Schizosaccharomyces pombe: one gene and its partners. The gene in region 3 interacts genetically with the main gene of each other region. Each region holds a gene or a part of one and is shown on either strand. Other genes may lie near its edges.

Region 1 (9,372 bases), on a different chromosome or scaffold from region 3:
ATACTCATCGCGCTTGAAGCTTCATGAGGAGATGCGAATTCGACAAAACAATAGCCAGCATTCATGCCTGTGTACCTGTTACGAATAAGCTTTACTTTGACTGCCTTTCCTAAAGTATTCCAAACTTGCTGGATAAATGCTTCAGTAACCCAAGGCTCTAATTCACCCATCCAAAGCGTCGTTTTTTGATAGACGTTTTCATCTCTTGATGAGCCATAGTTGCTAGTATTTTCGGAATTTCCAGATTCGTTGGATGCCATATTTGGAGAAATCGGATCTTGAGATTGTACGGGTTCATCATTTGATTTATAATCATTGTCCACTTCTTGGTCATCTTGTTCATTGAAGGAGTTATCTTTAACCAAAGTATCCGTATTAGCTGGTTGTTGGCTTTGTTCGTCTATCGAATTATGCGATTCCTTGGGTAAAATTTCAGACTCAGTCGGTGAGGAAGACATTTTAAAAATTTTAGCAATTAATAAAAGAGTGGATTATACTAGAAACCAAAAAAAATCGACACACTATGCTCACGGTAGAGACAGAAGGCTGAACTAAGTTAGATGAAAGTTTCGACAATGGATATTTGTGAAGATGAAACAATGAATAAATCGCCAAAAGGACTAATTATCACCACAAAAATGAGATGATGTACTGTGTATACAAAACACAAACTCTTAAAATAACTTTGGTGAGTTAACGGAAATAACTTATACGGTTAGTTGTCCAAGAAAAAGTACAAACTGGATTGTAGTCGATCAAACACAAAGTGAAATGAACGAAGGTAGAGAAAATTATTAGTTGGTACTAGGCCAATTAGTTAACTCAACGATCCAAACGTAAAAAAATATGAATCAAAGTTAAGTAGTAAGTCTTCGATAACTGATAAAGAGTCTAGAAGAAATTCAAATAATAAATTAGGAGTTTCCAAAAAAAAGAGGTGTCTTTAATAAAAAAAAATCTAATTCAAGGAAAAAAAACTTTTCAATGTTTAATTGCAAACGAATTATCAGTTAATGATAATATATTAAATTAATTGAAAAGTCAACTCAAAAGTGAAAATGTATGCTTGTAAAATGCACACAATATGCAATGTCTAAAGGAAAACGGAAGAGAAAGTTCAATTTAAACGGCAGAAGGAATAACAACGATACTTGGGTATCGCTGAACGCAGAAACGAAAAACGAATATAGCAATTAACGTAAACACGAGAGTCTACTGCAATCAAAATAACAGCAATTGCGCTTTAAACCTACGAGCAAAAAGAAAGAGAAGAAAATATTAAAATAAAAGACCTCAAAAAAAAAAAAAAGCGAAATGCTAACTTCAAAATCAAAATGCAATTTTTAACTCAAATTTGACGCAATTCCCTCGATATTACTTTCTATATGTAGCTCAATTAAAATATAAGAAAATGAGAAATAATATAAGCACAAGGACAAAGGAAACAAAGGAATTGTTCAAATACGGGGTTTCGATGTTGTAGCGTAGGTAAGTTGACTTATCTATCAGCACATTGTTAGGCAATCTATTTATGCAATTATAAATTATTGATTTTTTTAAGGTTTTTCATTTACATAAGTATTTTTTTGAATTTTATTTGTGCAACCATGTTATTAATTATGTCTTTTGAATTTCTTTTCTTATGCAGTTTTGGATTCCTGCGCAGGGTTCCATCGCTTCAGTCATAGTAGTAAAATGAGGTAAATGATTTACGTTGCTTGAAATGTGCAGATCCTACGGATGCGTCATATGGTGCTGGCAAAAGAAAAATGCGAATTTGTAGGTTTAGAGACAGCTTAAATTTTGCTTTCACCGTTTCCATTAATTCTATAAACTTTCATTTTTCATACAGTTGTTTGTCTTTGTATCCACCTGGCTAAATACATTAGAGGTTAAGCGCCAACACTCAGTCATATAAATATTGAATAGTAAGCCGCTAAAGAGAATTCAAGCGACACTACTTGATCAATTTTTAATGAAAGATACCATTATAAATTTAGAAATACAAATAATAATAGTTTTGAAATTTGGTTCTGCTATCAATACCTACGCATTGCACTTTAAAGACAAAGTAATTAGGAAAAAGGTAATGAATATTTTTAATTTAAAAAAAAAAAAAAAAAAAAAAAAAAGAAATTTAGGTATTAAGTAAAGCCATATAGCTTAAAATGCATGGGTATGTAACAGTATTCATATAGATTAGTTGAATTTAGGGGGAAACAACTTTAGAAGAAAGTAGAACATATAAAAACATTAATTAAAATATTTGTTTATTAAAACAATTTACAGCTGCTTTGATACTGCACGGACGATGCTTAAGCTATTTGAAACGTTTAATTAGAAAATTTGCAAAATGCTGCTTGGGAAACTAAGCAAGAAACATCAAAAATTTTTAAAATCGCTTTTAATACTACAATGACAAATTAGAACTGGGTTAAAAATGCTCTCAATTTATTTATTTATTCCGTCCATTTTCATCTCGCTACTAACATTTTTCAAGGATTTAAAAGTTTCACAGTTCTGTTTTTATAAAATATGTATACAGATGACTCTTCAATACCCCTTTGATTTCTTTCAGGTTTACTGATCAGCATTTTTATAAAACTCTCCCAAAACAGAAATTATTATAATAAGAATTTTTTATGATTTAAAAAATTTAATTTCTTTCCTTCCATTTCGAATGATCACAAATTCATGTACACATTTACCCTTGTTAACTTACATTTGGTACTTATTCTAAACTTTTGGGGCGACTGAGTATCACCACACCAGTTTGCCTACCTAAAATTACACACTACATTTTAAACACAAAGCATTTTTTTGCTAATTTATGAGAAATAATACAGCTTTTGAACAATTTACGTTAAATCCATGTGAACAAATACCTTTAGATGACAAACATAACATTGGGTTCAATAAAAATAATACCCCGGACTATTCTTCTTCTGCATCGTCTGACCAATTGTTAAAAAATGATATAAACAGACATGAAATGGAAAGGAGAATTGCTTTTCTTAATCGAAAACAGGCGCTATTCAATGCCTTTATGCATGATTCATCGTCCTCTTTAAATACGATGGAATCTAACATAGAAAAAGTGAATGGCCTTTTTCCTAATGACAATAGTGTGATTGCATTAAAGCCTAATGAAGAGAAGCTGAACAGTTCTCTTTCCGTTGAAAATAATGATTCTACTTACACGGATGCCACTTTAATTGCTCCTAAAATTGGGCTTGATCGTCCAAACATCAATGCAATTACTATTGATGTTGATGGCCACTCTTTGCAAAACGAAATTAGTTCTTCAACAGATAAGCTTAGTCCGAGTCAATCTGATGCACTTTTTGAACAAAAACAGGACTCTTTGTTTTGGAACGACAATGCTGTGATTGTCGTATCTGACTCTGAATCCGATGATAATAATGTTCGGACGAAATCTTCACTGAACGACCATGATAAAGTTAATATGAAGGAAAAAAGGAATTTAGAGCTTGCGTTTATGAATTCGAAAAGGAAAAAACTAGAGTTACCTTCGTTACCAGTTTTATCTACGGCTGGACCTTCTTATACCAATTCTTTAGCTCTTCCTCCTTTTCATCATCATAATAATTATAAGATGTTTAACACAACTCACACTTTAGAAGATGATAAGTTTCTTCAAGGAAAAGGAACTTCTAATAATCCGATCTCTTTATCAGACGAAGAAGATAACGAAATTAATTTTCAGAATAAGCGTTATGGCTCGGATTCAGTCATTCTTCCGGGTGGTTTGTTGCATGATTCCAAGCTACCCGAACCTGGTAAACACTTATTCCACCTTCAATGGTATCACGATAGATTTCACAATATTGAAGGATTCAATTTGTCAGACTCAAATAACCAGAAAGTTCAAGATGATCAGCAACAACAGTTGGAGGAGTTGTTCAAAGATCTTGATGAGCAGCTTGTCAACGATCCAACAATTCGCGAAGGTACACCTGCTGGACTAATACCTACATTAATGGAACACCAAAAGGAAGGACTAATGTGGTTAAAAAGATTAGAAGAAAGCTCTAAGAAAGGAGGGATTTTGGCAGATGATATGGGTCTAGGAAAAACTGTCCAGGCTCTTGCATTGCTAGTAACAAGGCCTCCAGAATCTAAATCAGTTAAAACAACTCTGATTATCACCCCTGTGTCGCTATTACAGCAATGGCATAATGAAATACTTACTAAAATTGCTCCCTCACATAGACCCACTGTTTATATTCATCACGGAAGTTCGAAAAAGCACAAAATTGCTGAACAATTGATGTCGTATGACATTGTTTTGACTACTTATAATGTCATCGCTTACGAGTTTAAAAACAAAATGGCTTATGACAAGAGTATCGAAGATAACGCTCCAATAAAAAAATTTGAACACCTTCCATTTTTTGAAGCAGAGTGGTATCGAGTTATATTGGATGAAGCTCAAACTATCAAAAACAGGAATACGTTAGCTGCTCGTGGATGCTGTCTATTAGAATCAACTTATCGTTGGTGTTTGAGTGGTACCCCTATGCAGAATGGGGTTGAGGAGTTCTACAGCTTGATAAAATTTCTGAGGATTAAACCTTATTCAGACTGGTCAAGTTTTTCAAAGGACTTTACCATTCCTTTAAGTAGCAATATAAACACGTCCGCTCCTATGAAGCGCTTTCGTGGCTTATTAAAAGCAGTGCTACTTCGTAGAACGAAAAATACAAAGATTGATGGCAAGCCAATATTGACACTTCCTCCAAAAACCGCCGTCAAATCTGAAACAGACCTCTCTTCTTCTGAGATGGAATTTTACAATACGCTTCAAAGCGGAGCACAAATTCAAATGCGTAAATATCTTCAAGAAGGGACTATAACTACGCATTACGGTAGTCTACTAGTATTACTTTTGAGACTTCGACAGGCTTGTTGTCATCCCTGGCTAATTGTTGCTCGAGAAGCAGCGGTTGATGATAACGATAGCTTTCAAGCTAAGAATCGTGCAATCTACAACCAAATATATCCCGAGGCTGTCAATCGCCTTAAGTTAATTGAAACGTTGCAATGCTCCTTATGTATGGATGTTGTTGCAGAACTTTTGATAATTGTGCCTTGCGGTCATTTTCTATGTAGAGAGTGCTTAACCCATGTTATTACATCCAGTGAGGATATGGCTAAGCAAACAAGCAACGAAAATATTTCTCCTAAGTGCTCAGTTTGCGAGGAGTACATCGATACTGAAAGGCTTTTGAGTTACGCATTATTTAGACGATATTCTGGAATGGCACCTATTGTCGATGCCGATAACAAATTAAGAACAGAAAACATTTCCGAATTGCTACCTAAACAGTATAGTAATATCTTAGAGAATAGACAAATGGGTATGAAGATCTTTACGGATCCTAAACATTGGACCACTTCTACAAAAATTGAAAAAGCATTAAATGCAGTTAAAGAAATCATCAAGAAACAGCCAACTGACAAAATTTTAATATTTTCACAGTTTGTTTCTTTTCTTGAGCTTTTTACGGTACCCTTTCGACAAGAGGGTATAAAATATCTTATGTATACTGGTGGTCTAAGCACAGCGGAAAGAAATCAAGCTCTTATTAATTTTGAAGTTGATCCGAACGTGAGAGTTTTACTGATCTCTTTAAAAGCAGGAAATGTCGGGTTAAACTTGACTTGTGCAAATCATGTCATCATACTCGATCCATTTTGGAATCCTTATATCGAAGAACAGGCTGTCGATCGAGCACATAGAATTGGACAAGATAAACCGGTAAATATTTTACGAATTGTTACTAATAACACGATTGAAGAGCGAGTTTTAGCCTTACAAGACAGAAAGAGAGAACTAATAGATAGCGCTTTAGGGGAAAAAGGGCTTAGAGAAATTTCACGTCTGAATACAAAGGAGTTGTCATTTTTATTTGGAATGTCATCACGATAATAGAAATTTAACAGGCTTATTAAAACCAATATGTATTATATAATATGTTTTCATGAATAGAAATAAAAAACGTCGCACATCTTTATTTTTCAAGTTCTCCAACTACAATTCCATTCTCAGCAGCTTTCAAGACACCATGTAAGATAGCTCTTCCTTGAGAAAGTTCCATAATACAAGAGGTACCGGAAAAATTTAAATCATTCTCCTTTCCCCACCGATTTGCTACAAGAACGATTGCATCCGTATTCGAATTTATTAACGGTGAAAGTCTAGTGGTCCAGTAATGTAAATTTTTGATGTCGGGCAGGGAAGCATCAATGACTTTATCATCTGACACAAGCCATGCCATACTTAAACAAATAATTGGTCGTGATACATTCGAAGAAACCATTTGTTGATGCTCTAGCTCACGCAAAATGAAGTTTGCATATTCAAACTTCTCAAAAGGAGCTTTAAAATCATACGGGTTAATGTCCATACAAATTGCCATTGAAATAGGGCCCAGTTCAGGAATACAGGGTTCAAAAGAGAAACCCTTGCCTTCAGTGGCCCATGATTTGTCTGTTTCAAAAAGAAAGTGCTTGTGGTAAACGTTCAACAACTCTTTTTTGGGAGAAATGAGAGCTGTACTATTGTAAAGAGTAGAAATGCCGTTTGAGTTTTGAAACTCAGGAAATCCAATGATGGTGTAGCACCGATATTGCTCAGAGACTTCTTGAGCAAATTGAATGCTTGGACAATGATTGCTAGTTACGTTTTCTAAAAAGGGTTGTATACTTTCTGAATTTTTAAAATTGTAGCCTACAGGAAAGTTAGCTAACTCTTCTTAATAATAAAGACCACCCACCAGTTAAGCACATTTCAGGGAAAACCAATAGCTTAACAGACTGTAATGCTTCAGAATGTTGATCCAAAAGCTGGCGAAGATGAACGATGTTTTCGTTCACCTTTCCCAACTTGGGAAAAAATTGTACACATCCAAACTTCATTAGTACTGTCGTTGCTGTTTAAAAGGATGCACTAGTAGTACAAACAAATTTTAAATTGAGAAGTGTTGACCGTTTTTATGACATCGAAGTGGCAAACTCTTAAACAAGTCCTTAGCGAGGCTTTTTTTTACCAATTCGATAGATAAATGGAATTAGAATTTTATCTCTTGTATATAAAAGACCGACAAGAAACTGGCCAAATCACCATTTCCTAGACAAAAACTGACTTAAGCAAATTTAAAGACGTATGCCGTTCCACTAGATTACTGCTATGTAGGATGATTGCACTTTACGAAGTCGCTCAGATATACAATATTTCGATACTTCAATGAAATTTACTGGGTTTTAATACACTGGTTTAAACTTCAAAATTATTTTGCTGCTGTCAAACATTTGTAAACTGCAAAAATTTCTCTCTTAATTTATAGTATTATGAAACCGAAACCAACCAAACTATTTATAATCCCAAGATAATTGAGAATTGATGAATACAACCCTAAAGGTCATTGATGAGAAGACCCATTATGGATTGCAATCAACATGATCGTCTTTTCCTTTTTTTTTGGCAGGGATTAGACGAAAGCGTATATATTCATAACGAATCAATAATTATTTTTTTTAGAATGAAAAATTTAGAAAACGAAAGATTCCGTTTAAAACTCAGCCTGTGAAAAACGGACCCACAACCTCTACAATCCTTATGTAAGGTAATCTTGGAGGGATTCATTCTCACCGAGACGGTCATCTATTATCCGCACGAGCTCAGCCGTAGCAGTTTCAACCTGATCATCATCATCTTCCATTAGTTCAGCAATAAATGGTACTGATTGAGGCAATGTAGAAATCCAATTCTCACCAAGGCGCCCGTAAAGCTGTGTCTGTATTTGGATAGCTAATAAGCGAGCATTGATGTTGGAGGATCGAAGATATTGCAACAACTGAGTATTCATTGATCTAAAGTTGTCGCTTGATGAGGCTACACTAGCCAGTTCGACAATAGCTTTTACTAGGACCTTGTCATCAAGCAAAGGAGCATATTGTATTTGTTCAATTAGAACGGGGCTTATTTTACCAAAACGTGCGGGCACCATCCAAAACTCCTCAGTGTCGTTTTCAAAAGCACTAACGAGACTACTGTTCACTAGATGACGAACTTCACTATTCGTATCTTTCGATGAAAGCAATTCAATCGTGTCATCCAAAACGTAAGCATAATAGTTAGTAACAATGGATTTTAAAGTATCAAGGAAAATGGTTAAAAAGTTGTAAAAAAAAGTTTGCCGAGATACTATTCCAGATGGATCAGTTTCGTACAAATCTTCCAATGCCCATGAATGCAAATGTAAAAACAAAGGACGGAAAGTTGTATCACTCAACTTCATCACGAATTTCAGAAATACATTAACTGCTTGAGTTTCCACATTATCAACGTCTTCCGCAAATAAAAGCGACCGCCTACTGTCAAAGGAATCCAAGAAAAATTTGAATATTGACTTATAAACAGTCCCAATAGCGCTCCTGCTAGAATTTTGTAATGCCAATTCAATCAACTCTAAAAGACGGAGTGCCGCAGTAGAACCAAGTCTTGCACATTCAGGCCATGCCGCAAATATAGATTTCATCAACAATCTAGTAGGTATAAAATTGGCAATTGTTTCAAATAAAAGCTCACCAATAGCATCATGTTCAAACGCACGATCAGAAGCTAAAGCGCATTTTATTGTCGGCTCGACATAACTGCTGCTAAACTCCGGTAATACTTTGAAAAAGTCGATCATCATAGAGAAACATGCTAGCTCTAATAAATCGCCTTCCGGATCTTTTCTAGCATCATCTAAAATAGATAAAGAATAATTAACTATATCGGCCAAGTAAGGCAAGATGCGAGCAGCAAGAGTATTGGTCAAGACGGTGATACATACTATGGCAGATACCTGTACATCACGTGCACTATTCTTTAATCCGTAGGGACCTGAAACCACCTCAATAGGGGAAATAAACAGTTCAGGACTCGCACTAAATCGCTTGGCCATAACAGCAAGACAATCCATAGCTAACTGAGTCGTTTCTTCATCAGAATAGTTGGATATATTGTAAGTAACATCAGGAATTAACGCTGTTAATGCAGACACTTTAGATCCCTGCTGTACCCTTTGTTGTACAATCGACAAAGCTTTACGGCGTAGTAAGGCACGTTCATCATGAAGAAGTTTACCGAGGACAGTACAAAATAATTCATTAGGTAGCAGATGTATCACACTACGTAATGCCACATATACGTGCCCCAACTCCATTTCGTTAGAGCTTTGCTGGCTGAGTGTAATAAGCAATTTTATCGATTCAAACAAACCTGCTTGAATTTCGACAAATGAATCAACAGAATTCTCCATTATCTTCGCCAAATCAAAAGCAAAATTTTTAGCCTTAGAC
Region 2 (8,239 bases), 3.0 Mb from region 3:
GCCCATCAGAATTCGTCGTGTAAGCCAAGGCAATGTTAGCTTGTGCAACGGCGCATATAATTCCTTTTGTTTCATAAAACCGATACAAAAAGTCCTGTACAACTTTGGCATGGGGGAAATCAAAAGAACAGCCATATCCTCCAGGTATATAAACAATCACATAGTCCGAAGGATTCAATCGATCCAGTCTTGCGATATTCTTTAATTTCTTCATCAAAGAGCAATCAGGATTAGAAAATATTGATTGTGTTTCATCCACTATCGCCGGGTCTCGAAAGGATTTATCGTCAAATCCATAATCCCCAGTATCAGACGCAATTACTATGTCAAAACCATTTTCTTCAAATACTTTAAACGCTTCATATAAGTCTACTACATTCACGCCAGTGTTATCTCCATCATCATAAAAAGGGCCATAATAGCTATTCAGCAAGAAAAGTACTTTTGGTTTTTCCGACGTCTCTCCTGCTGCTTCATGTCGTTCATCCATTTTTTAATTCAATTTTCAATACAATTCAATGTCGCAAATTTGGGTTATCAGTTAAAATATCCTCGTTATATTTTAAAAATTAAGAAAAGGGGATATTTATCTGATGAAAAGTTATGTGATCAAACTGTCAGGAAATGTCCCTCAAGATGATTACACGAGTCTCAAAACTTATTATCTTCAAATGCGAGTTATTTTGAGCCTTTCAACGATCCTCTCGAAGCAATTTATGTGTACGCCTCCAGCACGAATCACGATGACATGCTTTTTAATTAAAATTACTACTTACTTTTTAAAATTATTCTACTAAATATAAAAACCTGCATAATGTAATATTGAAGCAACTATTTCATAAAGTATTTCCATATCAAGTTTTCTCCTAATAATGATATTGCTATAAACATCGTACTTCAGTTATTGAAAATACTTTCAACTGAAATGGTTAATTAATTTCGTACGGTTAAAATAATTTGTTTAAGTCATGCATGCTACATGATATCCTGTTTATCAACAATCAAATGAGCGACTTATCTCACTCCATTGCGTGCATTTGGTTTGACTTCTTTAACAAACACGCAGTTGCACTTTTCAAACGATCTACTTGAAAAAGGTAATAAAACACATGCTATAAAGATTTACGATGCCACAAATATTAAACCATTTACCATACCTCAATTTAGCCCGTTAACCAGTGAATAAACAAATACCACCTTACCCGTTTACACAAAATGAGGAACATCAGAAGCACTTACAAATTTTTTTATGAAGTATCTTTATCGAATGTACATCTTCCCTCGTACAAAATTTACAGTCTCATGTCTACAAATATACCACGTCGATAATGCATTGCATTAATCAAGAGACAAAAAGTAACTTATATTATTGGGAGTTTTTAAAACCCCGGAAAACATCAAAATTCCAGAAAATTCGTAATCTAATTTATGTATTAGAACCATTCTGAGCCTGCTCACTAGAATGGAAAACCAAGGTTGAATTTAAGACACAATTATGTATGTCGACAAATGAAAAGAATATTGAATAAAAACATTAAAAGAAACAATAAAATGTAGGATATTAAACATGGATGGGATTTAACAAATCCATTTTTGCAACAGTAAATTAGGCTGAGCACATTTCGCAAGCCTCAGGGTTCTTGATGGAGCATGCGAGCACTTTTTCATTATAAATGTCAATCTCTTCTTTAGTGGGCTCTGCAGAAATTTCAGCCTTTCCATTCTTTATAACTGGCTTCTTATTCTCTTCATTAGATTCTTCATTACGAGCGCGCAAGGCCACAGGGTCGACCGTAAATTTGATAGCAGCAGAAGCAGCCATAGTACGAAGATAGTACATTCCAGTCTTAAGACCCTTCTTCCAGCCATAAAAGTGCATACTAGTAATTTTTCCGTAGGAAGGATCCTTCAAGTGAATGTTCAAACTTTGGGATTGATCAATGAATGGGCCACGGTCGGCAGCATAGTCAATAACAGTCTTTTGACTAATCTCCCATACGGTTTTGTAAAGATCCTTAAGGTCTTGAGGAATTTCAGGAATCGCTTGGATGGATCCATCAAGCATAACAAGTTTGTTCTTCATGTCCTCATTCCACAAATCACGCTCAACGAGATCCTTCAACAGCCATGGATTGACAATTTGGAATTCACCAGAAAGAACACGGCGTTGGTACATGTTAGAAGTATATGGCTCAAAACACTCATTGAAACCAAGGATTTGAGATGTTGAAGCAGTAGGCATTGGTGCTACTAACAAAGAATTACGAATTCCGTGTTTAGCAATCTTTTCCTTCAACTCGGCCCAATCCCAAAGATCGGTGGGATTAACGTTCCACATGTCATACTGTAAAATACCCTGGGATGCAGGAGATCCTTCATAACTCTCATATGTACCCTCTACCTGGGCAATCTCGCAAGAGGCCTCAAGGGCTGCGTGGTAAATTGTTTCGAAGATTTGGATGTTTAGCTTCTTGGCACCTGCAGATTCGAATGGTAAACGAAGAGCGAAGAAAGCATCGGCAAGACCTTGAACACCCAAACCAACGGGACGATGGCGCATATTGCTACGGCGAGCTTCAGGAACAGGATAATAGTTAACGTCGATAATCTTGTTGAGGTTACGAGTAACGACCTTCACGACATCGTGAAGCTTTTGGAAATTGTACTTTCCGTCTTTAATAAATGTGGGCAAAGCAACTGAAGCAAGGTTACAAACAGCAACTTCGTCAGGAGAAGAGTATTCAACAATCTCAGTACACAGGTTTGAGCAGCGAATAGTACCAACATTCTTCTGATTGGACTTACGGTTGCATGAATCCTTATACAACATGAAAGGATTACCAGTTTCAACTTGTGATTGAAGAATGGCGTACCAAACTTTTTGAGCAGGTAATGAACGACGACCACGGTTCTCCTTCTCATACTTTTCGTAGAGGGCAACAAACTCGTCACCCCAAACATCTGCCAAACCTGGAGCCTCATTGGGGCAGAAGAAGGTCCATTGCTCGTTACGTTCAACACGTTGCATAAACAAGTCAGGAATCCACAAGGCATAGAACATTTCGCGTGCGCGGAAATCCTCGTTGCCATGAGTCTTTCGAAGTTCTAAAAAGTCCATAACATCGGCATGCCAAGGCTCCAAATAGGCTGCAAAGGCACCAGGACGCTTATTACCTCCTTGGTCAACATAACGAGCTGTGTTGTTGTAAACACGAATCATGGGGACAATTCCGTTGGAAGTACCATTAGTTCCAGCAATATACGAACCGGTTGCTCTAATGTTGTGAATATTAATACCAATACCGCCAGCGGTCTTGGAGATCATAGCACACATCTTGAGTGTGTCGTAGATTCCTTCAATAGAGTCGTCTTTCATCGTAACGAGGAAACAAGAAGAGAGTTGGGGACGAGGAGTACCGGCATTGAAAAGAGTTGGTGAAGCATGGGTAAAGTAGCGTTGAGACATCAAATTGTATGTTTCAATAGCAGCTTCAATGTCCTCACCGTGGATACCAACGGCGACACGCATAATCATATGCTGAGGGCGCTCAGCAACTTTGCCGTCGATACGCAATAAATAAGAACGCTCTAAAGTCTTGAAGCCAAAGAAATTGTAAGTGAAATCACGATCGTATATGATAGCACTATCTAATTCGTCCTTGTGTTTCATTACGATATCGTAGATTTTGTCAGAGATCATGGGGGCAGGCTTGTCTGTTTTGGGATTTACATAGTCATGAAGCTGTTGAACGACAGTTGAAAACACCTTCTCGGTTTGCTTATGCAAGTTGGAAACAGCAATTCTAGCAGCCAAAATAGCATAATCAGGATGCTTTGTAGTCATAGTCGCGGCAGTTTCAGCAGCTAAATTATCCAATTCAATAGTGGTAACACCGGGATACACACCAGAAATGACTTTTTGAGTGATTTCGACGGGATCAACATGATCGGAATCAAGGCCATAACAAAGCCTCGAAACACGAGCAGTGATTTTGTCAAAGGCCACTTTCTCTTGACGTCCGTCTATACAGTTAGTACATTATTGCTTTTCGATTCAATGTCAACAGTCAGTCAATTTTGAATACAACGCCACCAGCAACGAATCTGTCAGCAATCAACCGAACACTTGGAAGTAGAGCAAACGGCTAAAAGAACATTTGCTTAAACATCTCTGCACACAACAAACAGTGAATACTGAATGACACGCTTAAACAAATAGAAAAATCTCAGTTTCTTTAAACATTTACTCCCCAGTAAAATCACGACATTTTTCGAAACGGCAACGTTGTAACAAAATTTCTACTAATCTTCTAACTGTATTTTATTTCCTGTTTCATACCTCTTTTGTATACAAACATCGTGTTTGTTCTAGTTTGTAAGGTGGTAAATACCGGGAATATTTATAGTAAATGAAAAACGCGTTCAGACGCGTCACGCTAATATAACGTGATGCCGCGTCGCGTCATCCGAACTTTAAGTCATGTTGATCAATGTAAATAAATAAAGCTAAGAGTGGAAACCGGATCATTTTTGTAGCTCTACTATATCTAAAAGACGTTAATTAAGACTTGCTAAATAGATTTATCTTTTTCACTTCTGAACATCAAAGTTCCGCTAAAATAAGTCCGACTTTTAAAAATTAAAAAAATATTTTTTTAAAAAAACGCGATTAAACATGTTGAAGTGGTCTGACCTGATACAATACATTCAACTGTTACATTTATCTTTTATTAAACATAAAAAAAGTGTTTATAAATACTCTGTTTACGACTGAATGTAATAAATTAAATATTTATTTACGCGTCTCAATTGCAACGCGACGCGACTGTTTACATAAATTAAACACGCGGTCCAACCCGACTACCAACCTGCTCTATGAGATTGAACTACTAATTTCTCTAATATATCTAGATATCAATTTCCCCTTGTTCTTTATATTACTTTTTGATGTTGTCAATTACCTGTTGGAGAAGATCATAACATACAATTGATAAAGTATTGTTTCCTTGATTTATAAATTGTAAAGCTAAGTTGAGTTAGCTTTTTTGTTAAGACCTCTCAACTTTTAGATTTAAGATTTTGATTCCCATTTCTGTTGTAATATGTAACCTTACTAATGCTTTACATTAAAGCATGAAGATTTCGACTCTGCATTTTACTTATAAGCACTATAAAAGGTACACATAGAGATAGACAAACAGCTTTTAGTAGCTACAAAAACTTTGTTCTTTTCCCTTTAATTCACTATTTGCTCCCTCGCAATTATCCTTTTTTTTAGGTAAAGTCAACAATGCTTATATCTTCATCTGATAATCTTGCCTGTAGACAGAGTGAAAATCAAATGGTAATACAAATGCATAGATAGAATAACAACGGTCACCTTCAAAACATGAAATTGCAAACATTGGTATGCTTGACGTAAAGAGAATGAGATATAAACAGTGTGCAAATTTCCGCAAAATACAAAATGTTTAAACCATCAACTACGGCTATCTGCTACTTCGACTATCAACGTGTATAAAAATACCAAGCGCCTGTATACCAGCAAGGTTATCAACAGAGATAATGTCGCTTCAATTTTCTACAATAATTCTAGTGCAAAATTGGAGACCCAGCTAAAGTTCCACGATAATAAGCAATTACGTGCTGTGAGAAAGCTTATAAAATATTCGGGTTTTGATCGAGTTTCAATCGAGGTGTATATTCTTTAAATTACCGATTTATAAAAATTTACCAAGTCCTTTGACTAGGTAGAAAGGATAATAATGATGGCAATCCTTAACAAAAGAAACAAGGTATTATAGGAAAAATAAAACCATGCAATAACAAGGCAATAAGGGAAATTTTCTTCAAACTAATAGCGAAGAGTATAGCAAAGTAAGCAAAGACTGAAAACAAGACGCATACTCCTTGCAGGTGCCTATACGTTGCAGAACAGTGAGGGGAAATGGTAGAACAGCTATATGAAATGCGCTTAAATCATTGCCAAGCTGACTAAATGGCACGACTTGAGGTAAGTAAAAAGGAAAGAATGAGAGGATATAATGACTATGTAACATGATAGGCCACACAATGCAAAACTCCCACCAAGGTGAAGGTGAAATAAAAATCAACATAAGTCGAAAAAATACGGAAACTTGTTGAATGTGCTTCGACTGAAGAGATGTATAAAAACAGAAAAGATAAATTCTCTAAGTTAAAAAATTTGGAAACAAGCTGTTTACAACAAGATACAACGCTTCTTCTTCTTAGTTCCACTAGAGGGCTTCACTTTGGGCTTGTGTTTGAGCATAGCAGCACGAGTGGCTGATTCAAAAACCTCACGAACACCTTCATTCGTCTTGGCAGAACACTCAAGGTATTTGTAAGCACCAATCTTCTGAGCTACTGCTTGACCTTCTTCTGTGGTGACGGGATGCTGATTAGTCTTGGATAACTCCTCAATAATTTTTGGGTCGTTACGGAGATCAGCCTTGCAAGCGACAAGCAAAATAGGAAGACTGGAACAGAAATGGAGAACCTCGGAAATCCATTTTTCTTGAACATTGTCAAGAGAATCGGGAGAATCAACAGCAAAGCAAATAAGGATAACATGTGAGTCAGGATATGACAAGGGACGTAGACGGTCGTAATCTTCTTGTCCAGCCGTATCCCAAAGAGCCAACTCAACGTGGCGTCCATCAACCTCAACATCAGCTACATAATTTTCAAAAACAGTGGGAACATAGACCTCGGGAAAGGTTCCTTTAGAAAATACACTATAAAGAAAAATGTTAGAAGTTGTATAACAATGACACAGACTCGTGAAACATTGCAGATAAGCAAGCAAAGAGTAAGTAGAAATACAGGGTACGGAGTGCAAATTAAATCCTCGGAACATTTATTAAATGTAATCTAAACCCCATCTAAGTCTCATTTCTATGGGGATTCTTTCATTATTTTCTTGAGGCAATGAACATGCTTACGGAAATAATTTTCTTCTCCAGCCATGCTAAGCAAGAGATGTAAACCCTTGCCAATTTAAAACAGGCCCAAGCAACTACTTTACCCTTCTACTACCTTTCCGACGCTTGCACCATTTTTACTTACATTAATAAGCATGTTTTACCACATGCACCATCTCCCACAATAACGAGCTTTCTGCGAAGTTCTGTCGCCATCCCTAGATTTGTTTACTTTCTCCTGCTCTAGACAGAAAAATTTCGACGTAAATAAACGTTTTTCGACTCAAATTCTGACACCGCTCTTTCCTTCGATGTGGCAGTGGTTAGCTATTTACTAGGCTGTCAGCGGCTCATGTAACAACGAAAGGAAAGAAGGAGACGCTACTACACTTCACTAAATCTCGTTACTTTGCCCTAGCGCTCTTATAGATGAACCCTTTGAGTATGTATGGACGAGGCTGAGCCTGTACAGAGTGTAAAGTGCAATTAAAACAGTTTTATTACAAAAAGATTGTCTCCACTCCGACTTGATGTCAACAGACGTTTTTTTGTTTGAATCACAAACGCCAAAAAAAGCAGAAACCAGCGGAAAAATTTCGTTAACGTATTCAGTTTAGTCATAATATTCGAAGATAACGGAACGCATTTAATCCGCTTATCCTATTTTAACGTACACACTTTATTTCAGTATTTTATAAATAATAAACATAGCAGGAATATAGAAACTTTTGGAAGAGACATAAAGAAGCAAAGCTTCGTATAAATAGCTATAATTATAATTGTATACTCATAAAATTAAACAGCATTCTATTTGTAAAATGCAAATGTGAGATGAATTCCTAAATTCAAAAAGCGGCAATTTTTGGTGCCGAAAAATAATTTTACATGTCAGATTGAAGTAATAAAGCAATATTACGATGCTCTTTCTTTCTATCGTCGTTTTGTTTGCTCTCTTATTTCTCGAGATCAATAAAATCCTACTTTAATTTTACTAAAATTATATCGCCCAAAAAAATATTGATCCGGTAGCAGATCTACAAATATACAAAAATGAAATGTAACTTTAGCCTCTTTTATTCTTCTTCATAGTTAAAATAAAACAGACGGTTTCAGTAGATCTATAACTTAGCTCTTAACTCACTACTTTGTCTCTTTTAACTTTTGCCATTGATTCATTTCAGTACTGGAGAACATAAGACCAATATATTAAACAGTTTGAACAGCGCGCCCTATAGATTTCCCACAAATTGAAAGAGAAAAAAGTCCTGAGTCGTTATTATTGAACATCTATCAAA
Region 3 (6,551 bases):
TGGATGCTCTCGTCCATGGGTTGCTGAAATTGCGTGTGTCGGTAAGGCACCAAATACTTACAATCTAATGCTTGGTGGAGGATTTTACGGTCAGAGATTAAACAAGCTATATCGCTCTTCCGTTCAAGAAAAAGAAATCCTCAATTTGTTGCGTCCGCTTATCAAGCGTTACGCCTTGGAGCGTGAAGATGGTGAACACTTTGGTGATTGGGTTATTCGTGCAGGTATCATTACAGCTGTTGAAAATGGAGGAGCTAATGGTGCTGTTCATGAAGGGGTATCACCTGAAGCGTTTTAGACGTCTATTTTAGTCAAGGTTGGTGGTTAGATGTTGACTATTATAATTGTCAAAATGAGTCTGTTTTAGTATCGCAATGATTGTTGGTTTTAGATTAATAGGTTAACATAGTGATTTGTCATACGATATCTATAAAAATTGTATATGTTATCAACTTCTTATATTTAGATTCAAAGTACTTTAAATCATATTTCTTTGTATCAAATTATAAATTATGGTATCGACTTGATCTTATGTTACTATATCCAGGATTTTCTTAGTAGCATACTTGGATTTAAATAGACGTATTAACTATGAGAAGGAATATAACAATATTGTTGACTACCAAATGTAAGAAACGAATGAATAATCAGGCTTTGCTCAGAGTTTCAGTATATCTTCAAGAAATTCAGACAGTGTGAATACAAAATATAAAATGGCTCATCATGGCAAGTTGCTATCTATTAAAACGGTCTATTTGAGATTTACTGAACCAAAAATGTAGCACAATAGTAACTATGTAAAATCTAAAATCTTAGTTAATACTTTAGATACAAACAAAAAAAAAAAAGACAAAATTTAATGCTAATCAAGTATTTCAGTAAGACACGATAACAACATGTGAGTTACAACTTCATTGTACAGTTGAAGCATTGTAGTAACCCATTTAGTCCGCCCGTTGCGTCTTAGGTATCATCCTTAAACTTGAAAAGCAACCTAAAATTTTTAACTTACCTTATGGGAAATATATTAAAATACAACTTTTTAAAAAATTAGGATTCAACTCTAAAAACGTCAGAAAAAATAACAAAAAAATAAAGAAAAAAGAAGTAAAAAAAATCATGATCAGACAAGGCTGAAACTTAAAAAATAATATAACGAATTCAACATGAGGAATTCAGCTGTTTTCGTCGTTTTATCATCACAATGATTGTTAGTAGTAAAGCTACAGGAACTTCTGTTTTTAAATTATGCTTACCTGTATAAGCTATTTTAAGAACATTAGCAATCTTTAAATTAAATAACTTTGATTGTTATTAACAAGTAACCATAATTACAAACCATATATACAAGGAAGCTGAGGTTGCAATTTAAGAGTTGAGTATACAAAATTGTGACTGCTGTCTTTAACGAATTCAACATTTCTGCCATAAAATCGCTTAAGTCTCACTATTATTTTTTTAATGGCAGTCGAGTATCTTAGTCTTTTCATTCGAAGTAAAGGAAGCGTTTGACAATTTTAGGATAAAAAGCTGTTATAGATATAATAAATATAGGATAAAGTAAGTGATATTGCTGAATATAAGACTTAATTTTATTTGCAATACTATTGTAAATAATTGTATCAATTAATAACATGATAAGGGCGGTTTATTTTTTTTAATTTCGCAAAAGACAAATTCTCCAAATTTTTTTCATAGAATGATGCTAAATAACAGAATACCCTTGCGGTATAGAATATCTGGGCATAGGTGGTGTTACAAACGATAAATTGGAGCAAGGCCTGATTCGGCATCAAAAATCCAGAAATTATCAATGGGGAACTGCTTCTTGCTAATTGAATTCAATGCATCTTGTGAAACAACCCCGCCAACAACGGACATAACCGGAGTCCATTGAAAGCTGATATTGGAAGAAAATTTTCTAAATAAAATTAGTAAAAAAGTGATCAAGTAGTCAAAGTAATTCCGTTTACTTACGATAAAAATTCTCCATTTAGTACTGTTTTCTCGTTCAGCTTTTGCTCGATGCAAACTTGTCGAATCGAGTCAGGATCTGATTTTTTACTTTTTAATAAAGCTAAATTAACAATTAGCAACTGTAAAAATTTACCAACTTCATCATATTTAACCTTATTGAACTCAGTTAATGACTTACATAACATCGCTGGATATAATGTAGGAATCTTTTTTGCTAACCTGGGTTTTAGTGTTTCGCCCAATATGCTTTGAAAGGCTTCCTTCATGGGTTTTTGAACAATAAACATATCCTCTTCTACTTTAGTATTATCAACGACTCGATCACTAAAAATGTAAGCAAAGGTGTTGAAATTGAAGATCACTTAGACAAGACTTACATTGCAAAATTGTGGTTAATCAAATCACAAAAAGCGAACCCATAAAGACCAAAACAGCTAGTTGCGTAGAAACTGGCATTACAAATTCGGGTTAATTCGTTTATTCGGCAGAACTCTTCATAATCAAGTTGCGTCGCAATAACCATGCTGAACTTTGAGATTTTTCCTTCGTCAATTTCAGATATCAGAGACGTATCTGTATCAATTTCTACTAAAGGGTTTAATTCATGTAACTTTTTCTTGAAGACATTAGCGCGGAGCTGGCCAATGTCTGAAGCTTCTATAAAAAATTGCTCCTCGACATCCTTTTCATAAACAGTCATTGAATCTAATACACAAAGTTTTCCTATTCCAGATAATACCAGGTTTTTCGCTATTTCATTCGCTAATGGAGAAGCAGTTATTAATAGGACGCGGGATTGCTTTAGTCTATAATTTTGTCAGAACCCAGCTATCATGCGTAAATTCAGCCAACTTACGCTTGTTGAGCATTAAAGCCCCAGAGCCTAATCTGTCTATCGTATAAAGCTATTTCTTCAGCATTAATATTGTGATTCCCCATGTCCTCTTCTTAGGGGTTAGTGGACTGAATACAGCTATGTCTATCGTGAATCAGATATAAGTTGGGGTAAGGTAGTAAATATCGAAAAGGCAGATTTAGCTAATCGTCTAACAGTGTTTAATATGGAAATTAAATAACAAACGAGTTCATTACTGATACATTATATAGAGACTTATGGCCAAGTCAAGGATGTTTGGTAGAGGCATTAATTCACACCATATTCTTGGTAATTGAGAAGCGAAACAGCGTTTTCAATGTTATTCTACATAAAATAAACAGATTAGATTAAGTAACAAATAAGCAAATCTATAGCAATGTGGGAAAGGGAATACTAGAATCTGACTAAGAGTGCTGAAATTCATCAAGTGGGAAAAAATAAAATAAATACCAGTGGTTCATGGATTTAAAAGCAAAACGTATAACATCACGCAATCCAATTCTAATGTGCGGAAAAAATTTTTGAAGAGTAAACCTTACTAACTGAATGAAACAAATATTAGGAATTTTTTCGGTAAACAAATAGATAAGGGACGTGAAAACATAAAGAAAATGTTATTATTCGGGACCAGTTTCGGCTTCCAAAATTCGTACAGCTCGCTGACTTTCTTCTTCCTGTAAAGTGGCCTGCAATTCCTCCCTCTTTCTTCTACTTTTTTCTTTGTGCAAATAAAACATGCAAAGCATTAATAACAATCCTTGAAGGCATGCGCTGACAATATACATCATGTACGTAGTCCAATTAGTACCGGGCAACCTGGATAGTAAATATCCGATCAAAAATCCACCCGGAGTTTGCATCATCATCATTGGGATACTAAGGGCACCATGGCTTTGATGGCGTATAGTTTTTATGATTTGAGGAACATACTGAACGACCGCGCAGAATGAAGCGCTAAATCCAAGGAATGCTGCCCAAGCAAAGTTCGAACTAAGGACGGTTGCGGATAGACAGATGATAAACAATCCCCAAGTAAATACACCAAGTAGCCCATAAGATGCTTTTCGCCATTTACGACTTTTCGTTACACTTAAAGGCTCAGGGATTGGTAAACCATTTTCGTCATCTGCTGCAACAAAGTGAATAGGTCGAGGGAGAAACATCCAGAAAGCCATAAGAACACAACCCATAATAAGTACCTGAGAACCCACTTGAATTAAACCGGTTGTGTTAGCAAAGCATTGCTTTTTGGAATAGTAATTTTGACAGCATTCAGTTAAAGGGCTAATTTGTAGAGCAATGACATTTGAGAACGCATTAAGAACACCTATGTAACCCAAAATAAGGTAAGAAAAACTTAAGCCTTGCGAACTTCCGAGACGAACAATGCGAAAGATTTGTAACAGGTAAGAAATGATGAGGCCTATGATAATATACACTGAAAAGATAAAGCTAGCTTTTGTTGCCAAAGGGCACTTCGGTGGTGTATCATCATCAAAAATGAAACTGCTCGTGCTAAACTCCATCGTTCATACGTACTTCGTCTCCTATAATAAAATCGTAATAAAGAAATGCAATACGAAGTTAATTTCTAATGCTTTGTATAAAAATATATAAATAAACGATGCCTGGGCTGCCAATAATGGTACGATGAAGTAAAGGTTGCTAACTTTGGGGCTTATTGAACAAGCGTCACTAAGGAAAGACAATTTAAAATTTCCTTTTGAAATAATTGGTGTTTAATAAATAAGTAAAAGGAAGAATCGCCAAAAAATTGGATTTTTCATTTAATTTTGTCGAAAATGGGGAAAGGAGAGGCAGTGTAAGCTACATTAGTCGGAGGGCTTAGACACAAAGTTGTGAGCTGTAACGTATAATATTGAAATTTTGCGATATTTAAAGTGCTATAAATTTGACATTGGAGAAAATAAATAAGTAAATAAACAATGAATTATAGAAGAAGATAAAAGGAACTGAATGAATTGTATATCTTAATAAACTAGGTAAATTTTTTTCTCTTTTAAAAACATGAGTGAAATGAAATGGCGCTACACATCTAAAAATTGAAATACATCAAGACACTTTACAAAAAAATTTCTAAATTGAATCTAAAATCAAGTTCTTTTGTTTTTAACCCCATTATCTTTTTAAAGATTCTAAATAATCTAAATTAATCGTTTGAACCAAATTTTTTATAGGATATATAACTACATATTTACTTTTTAAATTCTTTTTCATCTTATCATTAAATTCCGAGATTTTTTATTCCAAACAGCAGCTAATAATTATGAAATAACTTAGTTTTTAATTCTCTTATCTTTCTTGAACTTTTCGTCATATTGCAATAAGGATACAAATAAAAAAAAAATTTATTTTTAAAAGAATCTAAGCTTGAAAAGCCATACTATTTACTCTTTTATTGATTTCGAAAATTATTAAATTAAAACCCACTAACTAACCTGTTATTGTTGACATTAAGTATAAAATTTGACTTGGCTGTTCCGTAGCTAATTGTATCATTAATGAAATGACCGAGTTTGCTAAATTAACTCGAGTATATTTTCCTGTAAAGCTTATATTTTGCTTAAATCTGACTCGTTTAACAGCTAGTTTTATTCAAGTTAACAAACATACATTTTTCGAACAGTTTGGTGCAGTCTGCCAATCTTGAACTTGGTAGCAGACAGGATGCGTAGATTATGAAACATTCTAATAAAATTTCAAATGGAATAAAGCCATTATGTTGAATTTCAAGCTTGTTCTATGGTTTAACTACTTTCCATTTTCCTTCTTTCATCAGCTACTAAACAAAAAAATTACCTTATACTTTACTAATATGCTGAAGCCTTCAATGTTTGGGCATGTGATGCAGTGGTAGCATGCTCGCTTTGCATGCGAGTCGTCCTGGGTTCAATCCCCAGCGTGTCCAATATTTTTTTGTAAACTTAGCTACTCTCAGCAAAAATTAGGCCATTCCAATCGAGAGATTTCTTGTATTATATAGTTTAATGATAATCAAATCTCGATGACTCCTCCTTCCCATGCGATGTGGCGCGTTTTTATCCCAGTTGTCATTCCTTGAAATGTTGTGTATAAAACTATGAGTAGTAAACAAACTGTTGTTACAGCTGTATGTTTTTTAACACCCAAAAACCTATCACTATCAACAACTCAAAGAAAAAGAACCCATCTTTAGGAATGCTTAGTAATTTAAGAACGGTGAGAGTTCATGATTTCTTTTTCAGCGAAAAAGTTGTTTGTTATAGAATTACTTTACCGAGATTAAACTTCGTAAAAGCGAATGAAAAGTAAAACAAGCGAAAGTATATTAAGGATATGCGGCGGGATCTCACTGTAGCACGATAGTCTTTACTCACTACTACCACTATTAAGTACGGTGCTTTTTGATCATCAATAAGCAATTCCGTCTGTATCTAAATTACTTTTGTCTGTGTATATTTAGAAGTCAAAACTTTTTGTCATAATGTCAGAAAATTACTCGTTTTCTTTGCGTAAATTTAAGTTGGTTTTTCTCGGTGAGCAGTCAGTTGGCAAAACATCGTTAATTACACGATTTATGTACGATCAGTTTGATAATACTTATCAAGTAAGTAACTATAATTAAAACTTCTTTACTAACAGGGTCCAAGGCTACTATTGGTATAGACTTTCTAAGCAAGACTATGTATTTGGAAGA
Region 4 (7,211 bases), 150 kb from region 3:
CATGATATTGCATTCTAGGGCTTCTTGCAATATCTCCTAGGACGAGAACAATAATTCTTTTCTTATCCGTCCTCTTTTTTAAATTAAACCATATCACCAAAGATAAAAATAAAACTATCTTCAATACTAGCATTTTGTACACAAACTCACGGTTACTGATCGAATTTCGAAACTTCCGCTTAAGAAAACTAGTTATTAAATACTGTTAGACATATAAAAAGCGAATATCTTCTTAAAACAACTTTCTATAGGTAGGTGTACAGCGCTGATGGTTTACGTAAATATTATTGTGCCCATAATACACTATTAAACAGCAACCTACCCAATATGTCGAAACTCGAAATAACATGCATTTAAAATACAAAGGAAAAGGAATAGAAGCATGATTGTACTCTTAAAGAAAAAAAAAAAATTTTATTTCAAGTATTGAAGTAAAAGAACACTAGACGCAGAAATAATGTAATAAGCAAATAAATTTAAGTAGTAAGATTCGTATCACATACTTAAACATTCCATACTTCAAGCTTGGGAATAGAAAATGCAAAAGACATGACCTGCATGCCGATAAACTTGAATAAAACTCAAATGTAATAGTTGCGTCAATTTACAAAAATGGTAAGACGACGAGTGAAGGGCTAGTATCATGAATAACAGATAGAAACTTATAATAACAGGATGTAATAAGTTAAAAACAAAGTCGTTAGGAAAACAAAAATTGAGGATTTGCGTTCCTATCGTGACAAACCACTTGTGTGGAAACACCAAAGGTGGATGAATGTTTTTTTTCTATCGATAATAAGTTTAAAATAATCAGAATGAAAATGTTAGAAGAAAAGAGAATGAAGAAACTTCAAGTATACAATTTTAACAGATTATACACGCCATAAAATGAATCATAAAAATGCTAACTCTAAAAAAGAGTAAAGGTAGTAAGCAAAATGCCTAAAATCTTACCAAAACGAGGATAAGCGCAACGAGGCAAAAGAAGGCGAGCCACATCCAAATTGAAATTCCTCCATTCTTCGAAACATTCTTTAATCGAGTCATTGTCCCGCTCAAAAGTGACTTGGTCGAGTCAAATGAGTCGTTCATTGACTCCATCAACTTAGTAGAAGACGTTATCTCAGTCCCAATATTCATAGTAAGCTATTAAAATTAGTTAGCATGTTTTTCCTGATGATGGCAAAAATCTTACCTCTTTCAAAGACTTGACTTTTCCAGTTAACTTTGAAATCCGTTCATCATTTTCATTTTCCAAGGAGTCTAAATGCTGAGGAGATTGAGACTCATACAAGGGCAACATATCGCCATTGCGTTCTTTTCTTCTACCGAATCTAATGATTAGTTAGACATTGATTGATCAGATTTAGTACATACCTTGATCCCATTCTGAAGCTTTTTTTAAAATCTTTCCCTTTACCGAATATGAAAAGTATTTGGTGTAGCGCAACTTCCAAATCCTAAGATCTCTTTGTTATGTATTGGTTTTGTGCGCAAAGTCAGCTCATCAAATAACATGCGACGCAACTCAGGAGTTGCGTGTAGAGGTAACACATTGTTGTACTAAGTGACAAATCTCATTTTGCTCTGTTTTTACATTAATCTAAACAATTTTTTTTTTACCGCAGACGAAACAGAGATGATAGTTATGGGTTTAGTAAAAATAAGTATAGATCCCTTCTTGAGCCTGTAGAATATTGAATTTGAGCATCAATTTTGAATGATTTTTCTTTGTGGTGCTGATCCATAATGTGTTACTGGGGCAACTGTAATGTAAACAAATCAACGTGCTTTGTTTACATTTGTAGAAGTGAAATACCGGTGGTTAAAATACCACAGAAAGCAATAGATATGATAATATGGCAAATCGATGGATATTTTTCTTTGCTACAGCCGAAATTAAATAGTATGTAAAACTTGATGATCCAGCGGTCAACTCCAACAGAGCTAATATTTTTTACGCTACTTGCCCATAATACAGTGTGAAAAATAGCGATCTATTTAATCGATGAAATTTATCATTTATTAATGAATTATTTCTTATGCAATTGATATTATATCTTTTATTGCAAAGGTAGGCAATAAAGACTGGTTTAGAGCCACGCAAATGATAGTGTAAAAAAAGAAACATGCTCCTTGTGTATATTACTTCTAGCAATGGAGGTACAAACTTTTCAGTTTTGAATAAAAACGGAATGTAAGAACCAATGGGGAACGAAAACAATAAAATAAAATTCTGGGAAGAAGAAATTTAGAAATGAATAGCACGACTGACTCAATTCTTTGGCAAGAACTTGACCGGAACGAGCTGAATATAAACAAACAGCACGATTTAAATTTTGTCCTCTAATTATGTCTTTTCAGTAAAGCATGTATGAGGTTTACACAATATGTCTATTTAAAAAGAAGGCATTAAAACTCAACTTCTAGGCAAAATGGAATAGCTCAAAACAATAGCTAAACCTCAAAGTGTATTAGTGTAGCAATCCGGCCATCCATAGACAAAAAAGAAAGCCAGGAATTATTAAAGATATTTGTGGAACTTTAAAACGTCAACAGATGGTTTGGAATTTAAGACTAAAAGACGTAGTGTAAGAGAGGAATTGATGAAAAGTAAAGTCAAAAAATCAAGGAGCTGGTTCTTCATCTAAAACACGCCTCAGTTGAGCACTGTATTGAGGTTGCAACGAAGATGGAATGTATTCATAATCTTTGTTGGGAACAGGAGAACGAAAGGAGAGAGGAAGAGGTGAGGGAGAAGCACATTGAACAATATTAGTGGAGAAAGATTGTGGAGTCTTTGGATTCCGCTCAGCAGGTAAGGGAATGGATGAATAATTAGGAGTAATGGGATTAACCGGTTGAGTTTGTGACACCATAGGAGATGTAACCTGTGGAGGTGCTGTAGCAGAAGCGGCGGCAGCAGCAGCAGCTCGCTTTTGCTAATAATAGTTAGTCAATCGAATTTTCAATCATTTGTTAAGGTTAAACTAACGTATCACCTTATCATTTTCTTTTCAAAACTTACGTATTTTAATATCATCCAGTCAAAAACATAGTCATACTGGTATCCTTTACGAATAAGTAAATCACGAAACAGCTTTCTCAAATAAGCATAGTTTGGCTTCTCGGTAAACGAAAGCTGACGAGTGTAACACATGTAAGTGATAAACTCTTCGGGAAGACCTTTGCAAAGGACTTCCAAAGGAGTGCCAATCTTGGTATCACGTATCCGTTGATACTTTTGCTCCTTTGTATCAGCTTGTAAGCCTTGCCAGGGCAAACTGCCGCGACAAAAATAAAGTAAAACATAACCTAACGATTCGAGGTCATCACGGCGAGATTGTTCAATACCAATATGGGTGTTAATACTAGCATATCGAGCCGTTCCCGTAAGATTCTTATTATCTCGATATGGAATATGAACATGAGTTTTAAAATCCCTGTATTTTTTCGCCAATCCGAAGTCAATCATCGTAACAACATTGCTGTGCTTCTTCATTAAAAAATTATCAGGCTTAATGTCTCGATGTAAGAATGACTTGGAGTGAACATATTCAATGCGACTGATGAGTTGATCAGCAAGTAAAAGAACCGTTTTAAGAGTAAACTTTCTTCCACAATAGCAGAATAAATCTTCCAGAGAAGGGCCTAATAAATCCATGACCATAGCATTATAACTATTGGTTACACCGAACCAGCGAATTGTGGGTATGCCAATATTTCCTTTAAGAATATTATACACACGAAACCTAAATGTTAGAAAGAAAAAAGAAAAATAACCAAATGGAGTAACTTTTGCTTTTCCTTTTTGGTTGTAAAACATCGAGCTACGGTTGATAGATATAAAGAAGAAATTGGAGTTCCGAAAGAAATCCAACTTATACTTAAGTAAAAAAATATTAAAGCACTACTTACTCATATTCTAACTGATGATGACGAGCCTTTAAAGGCTCCAATTTCACAGCAACTTGTTCTCCATTTACCGTATTTAATCCCAGGTAAATTTGACCAAAGGAGCCAGAACCAATTTTTCTACCTATACGATATTTATTACCAATCTTAATGTCAACAACCGTCATTTTGCTAAGATTCTAATTCACAGAGATGACTGTGGTTGTTAGAATCGCATCATCACAGAAATCAAAGAGGAAGGCAAATAGAGCGCTGCAACGAGCTATATTTGGAGTAGAAGGATGTTTTGAATACATGATATATACAATGTAATGTGACTAATTTTTTATTTTACTAAGCAATACTTCAATGTCTTTGTTTACTTCCCTCGTCAACTAATTTTTTAAGATGCTCGTTTCTAAAAGAGTGGAATATTTTATTTAATGTTTGTACCATGATTGCCTTAAGGCTGTGGATGTTGATTGTTTCTTTACATGAGACTTAATAAATTTAGTAAGCAAAGCGAATTCAAATTTGTTGGTTCATATTTTTGCAGTGACTTCTACTGAACGCGGATTTTTTTTTTTCTTTTCCGTTAGAATAATATTTGTTTATTCCGAAGTAAGCCGTTTGTGATGTGGCTGAAATGTCACGGAATCATTTGCTCCAACAGATATTTTACCCTTCAATTGTTTGTGCATTACATTGTAGCATGAAGTACCTGAGTGGGAGCTTGTTCTGACTTTCTTCCGAAAAGTACAAAATATGAATGACATGTGGTTTTCTAGTGGAAAGAAAAGAGGTTTGGATTAAATTTATTGATACAAAAAGCAATAATGTTTTGTTTACATTATGAAGAATGTGGAATTCTAGCATATTTTTTCATATCCTCAAAGAGAATCACTTCAAAGTGATTTGTTTTGTAAACAAAGCAAACAAATCCAAAATGATTTTCTATGAACGTTCAGGATTTTACTTACAGAATCATATTGAACTGCTATTCTCTTTCAATAGTTTTTCCGATGATTCTTTTTTGGAGTGAATGCAAAAAACGATCGCCTACATGGCGAAGTAGTATTGAAAACGAAAAATGCTAATACTGCTTTATTTTTAGTAAAAGCCTCAGTTCTAGAGAATACAATACCAGCTTCAATATAGAAGTGTATACTAAACCTTCTGTAATACGTTATTTTACAGCTTTTGAAATCCGTGCCCAAAGATCTGCTTAATTGGAAACACAAAATAGGAACAATATGTTTGAGGTACTTTTTCTGAGGATTATCAAATTATCTAGGTAAATTAAAAGATTACAAAATGAGCGAATTAAATGACGACTAAGTACATAACTTTTCAGTCAAAGTGAATATTTATTTCGTGCAACACATGTATTCCTAAAAAGCATGGAAATTCATTTTTTCCTTCTGTTTATTTGAAAAGTTCATATTTAAATATACATTTAATACTTTAATTTAAATGATTGATCTCCTACAAATAAATTCGATTGATTACAGAACTTTTGATCAATTGTAACTGCTACAAAAACAAGCAGTGTAATTTCATTGACTTCCATTAAATCACATCAAAAGGGCTGAAACATTTTAGGAAGTGAAAGACATGAACTCGTCATCAACTTAATGATCACTTCCGTACTTTCCAGCCTTTGGGTTTCTAGGATCATTGCGATACTCCGCAGCTACATAGAGTTAAAAAATTGTTCTATTTCTATTAAAAACGTACAATCCATCATAGCATCACGAAGCTTTACAGTACCATAGAATACGATGGCTCCTGTCAAGACATGTTAATAATAATTCAAATCGTTGAAAAATATACATACCCCCTAGAAAAAAAGGAAGCATAGGTTTTAAAATAGGAGTAGAATATCTTTTAAGGCCAAAGAACGACATTTCTCTGATTCCGATTTCTGTTTAAATGGAGATGGGAGTGGAGAGGTTAAGTTAAAGGCAATCACTGGGAGTCTCAATATTAGGATATGTCAACGATGTCGATTTCTAGTGTATTATTTTTTTAATTTTATTTTCTTTTAAAAGAATTCTAAAATAATAAAAAAAATTACTCTTTTTTGGTAGTAGCTTCAGTCTGATGGAACCAAATTTTGAAGTGCTAGTTAAATGGACATGCTAAATTAAAGTTCGAACTTACACAATTACATCCATAACACATATTAGCGTTTGTTTTTAAATTCGGGATTAGACTGATTGACTGAAGACAACCTTTCGCAGTTACAGTCGAGTCTCTTTTAACTACTTGAAAACAGTAAGAGAATTTTTTCTTTTTTCATCATATGACTTGTTGTTCGTTAGATAGCATGAAAATACAAAACTCTTTGAGTCAAACTCGCGTACTCTATGAAACATTTTGGTGAGTAGTCGGAAATCGACTGCCCTTTCATCAATTTGTAAATCAAGAGCTTCTGAAAAGGTAATTAAATAATATATTTATCTGTTATTTATATACTTTTACATTGAAGTTTAGTTATCTATTTATTAAATTAGTACATGTACATAAGATAGAAAGTAAAAATACGAGAATCCTTTGCTTAACGATTTTGAATAGACCAAAAATTCAACTGTCGACAAACGCGTAAACTTAATATGTTAAAAAAAGAAACGTGCCAAGGAAATTATCCTTCTAATTCTTTTGCAAGTCCTACACGAGATAAAAACATGGCTTCTCGCTTTTTCAAACACTCATCCCAAGCTTTTTCTAAAGAGCAGGAAGACCAAACCCCTTTGCATATTTGATGAAGAAAGGCAACAAAATTACAAACACTCCGAAGACGAGCGACACAATAAGTGCAAGAGGCATGTGATGTAGAATCAGGTCGAGAACGAAATTCGAATTGTCGTAAAGGCTGGGTACGGTTAAACCCACATAAAGAGCAAGGTTGTGACGATAGGAGGGAAGTAGAATGAAGCGGGTTGATGATCAAGGATGATTCTAATATAGCAGTGAACACAGATCGACGTGTTAGCCATGATAAACCTGAAGCATGATCTAACCGTAAAGTGGGTTCAATGTCTTCTTCTAAACAACGTTTAAAAAAGGAGAAGTCACGTAGATTTCTTGATATTAAAGGAATTGAGTTAGAAGAAGAACTAGGATTTTGCGATAGAGTGGATGATCTTGCAGTAGATGGTGTAACAGTGTTACGTGGAGGAGTGTTAGAATAATTTGCTGATGTTGAATATGCACTTCTTGATCTCGCAAACTTCATAGGATAATTAAAAAAGGCATGAAATTCAAGAAAACACGGATTCATATAATTCATGGCAGAGGCGGAAGGGTGAGTTGGG

Evidence for each region.
Region 1: of rad31 (region 3) and rrp2, changing one suppresses a phenotype caused by changing the other (phenotypic suppression), as found in Schizosaccharomyces pombe (one study listed by BioGRID).
Region 2: of rad31 (region 3) and cdc22, changing one enhances a phenotype caused by changing the other (phenotypic enhancement), as found in Schizosaccharomyces pombe (one study listed by BioGRID).
Region 4: of rad31 (region 3) and hhp2, changing one enhances a phenotype caused by changing the other (phenotypic enhancement), as found in Schizosaccharomyces pombe (one study listed by BioGRID).

The regions. Positions count from the first base shown.
Region 1 is NC_003423.3:3,836,807-3,846,178, forward strand, and holds rrp2 (DNA translocase/ SUMO-targeted ubiquitin ligase E3), read left to right. Parts: upstream 1-2,762; 5' UTR 2,763-2,830; coding exon 2,831-5,953; 3' UTR 5,954-6,035; coding exon of another isoform or gene 6,036-6,754; 3' UTR 6,755-6,800; coding exon of another isoform or gene 6,801-6,942; 3' UTR 6,943-7,299; downstream 7,300-9,372. Other genes in the region: splicing factor Cxr1, read right to left, coding at 1-458; protein N-terminal amidase nta1, read right to left, coding at 6,036-6,754, 6,801-6,942; U3 snoRNP-associated protein Utp10, read right to left, coding at 7,641-9,372.
Region 2 is NC_003424.3:4,223,101-4,231,339, reverse strand, and holds cdc22 (ribonucleoside reductase large subunit Cdc22), read right to left. Parts: upstream 4,371-8,239; 5' UTR 4,359-4,370; coding exon 4,340-4,358; exon of another isoform or gene 4,024-4,339; coding exon 1,607-4,023; 3' UTR 1,351-1,606; downstream 1-1,350. Other genes in the region: hsp3105 (ThiJ domain protein, glyoxylase III), read right to left, coding at 1-490; Rho family GTPase Rho1, read right to left, coding at 6,221-6,758, 7,090-7,160. UniProt on the Schizosaccharomyces pombe protein: Provides the precursors necessary for DNA synthesis. Catalyzes the biosynthesis of deoxyribonucleotides from the corresponding ribonucleotides.
Region 3 is NC_003424.3:1,194,824-1,201,374, reverse strand, and holds rad31 (SUMO activating enzyme E1-type Rad31), read right to left. Parts: upstream 2,985-6,551; 5' UTR 2,917-2,984; coding exon 2,834-2,916; exon of another isoform or gene 2,784-2,833; coding exon 2,355-2,783; exon of another isoform or gene 2,302-2,354; coding exon 2,156-2,301; exon of another isoform or gene 2,078-2,155; coding exon 1,978-2,077; exon of another isoform or gene 1,922-1,977; coding exon 1,756-1,921; 3' UTR 1,642-1,755; downstream 1-1,641. Other genes in the region: sulfite reductase beta subunit Sir1, read left to right, coding at 1-298; SPOM_SPAC4C5.03 (multispanning membrane protein, CTNS/PQ domain protein), read right to left, coding at 3,472-4,380; Rab family GTPase Ryh1, read left to right, coding at 6,339-6,461, 6,505-6,551. UniProt on the Schizosaccharomyces pombe protein: Could be involved in a ubiquitin-related process important for DNA damage tolerance. Acts in a process which is defective in the checkpoint rad mutants and which involves hus5.
Region 4 is NC_003424.3:1,045,906-1,053,116, reverse strand, and holds hhp2 (serine/threonine protein kinase (CK1 family) Hhp2), read right to left. Parts: upstream 4,120-7,211; 5' UTR 4,083-4,119; coding exon 3,919-4,082; intron 3,753-3,918; coding exon 3,029-3,752; intron 2,943-3,028; coding exon 2,628-2,942; 3' UTR 1,981-2,627; downstream 1-1,980. Other genes in the region: mannosyltransferase complex subunit Alg1, read right to left, coding at 1-133; SNARE protein Bet1, read right to left, coding at 943-1,146, 1,196-1,334, 1,378-1,388; atp18 (F0-ATPase subunit J), read right to left, coding at 5,526-5,587, 5,632-5,682, 5,732-5,801; guanyl-nucleotide exchange factor Sec2, read right to left, coding at 6,539-7,211. UniProt on the Schizosaccharomyces pombe protein: Involved in DNA repair. May regulate the activity of protein(s) involved in double strand break repair caused by gamma rays.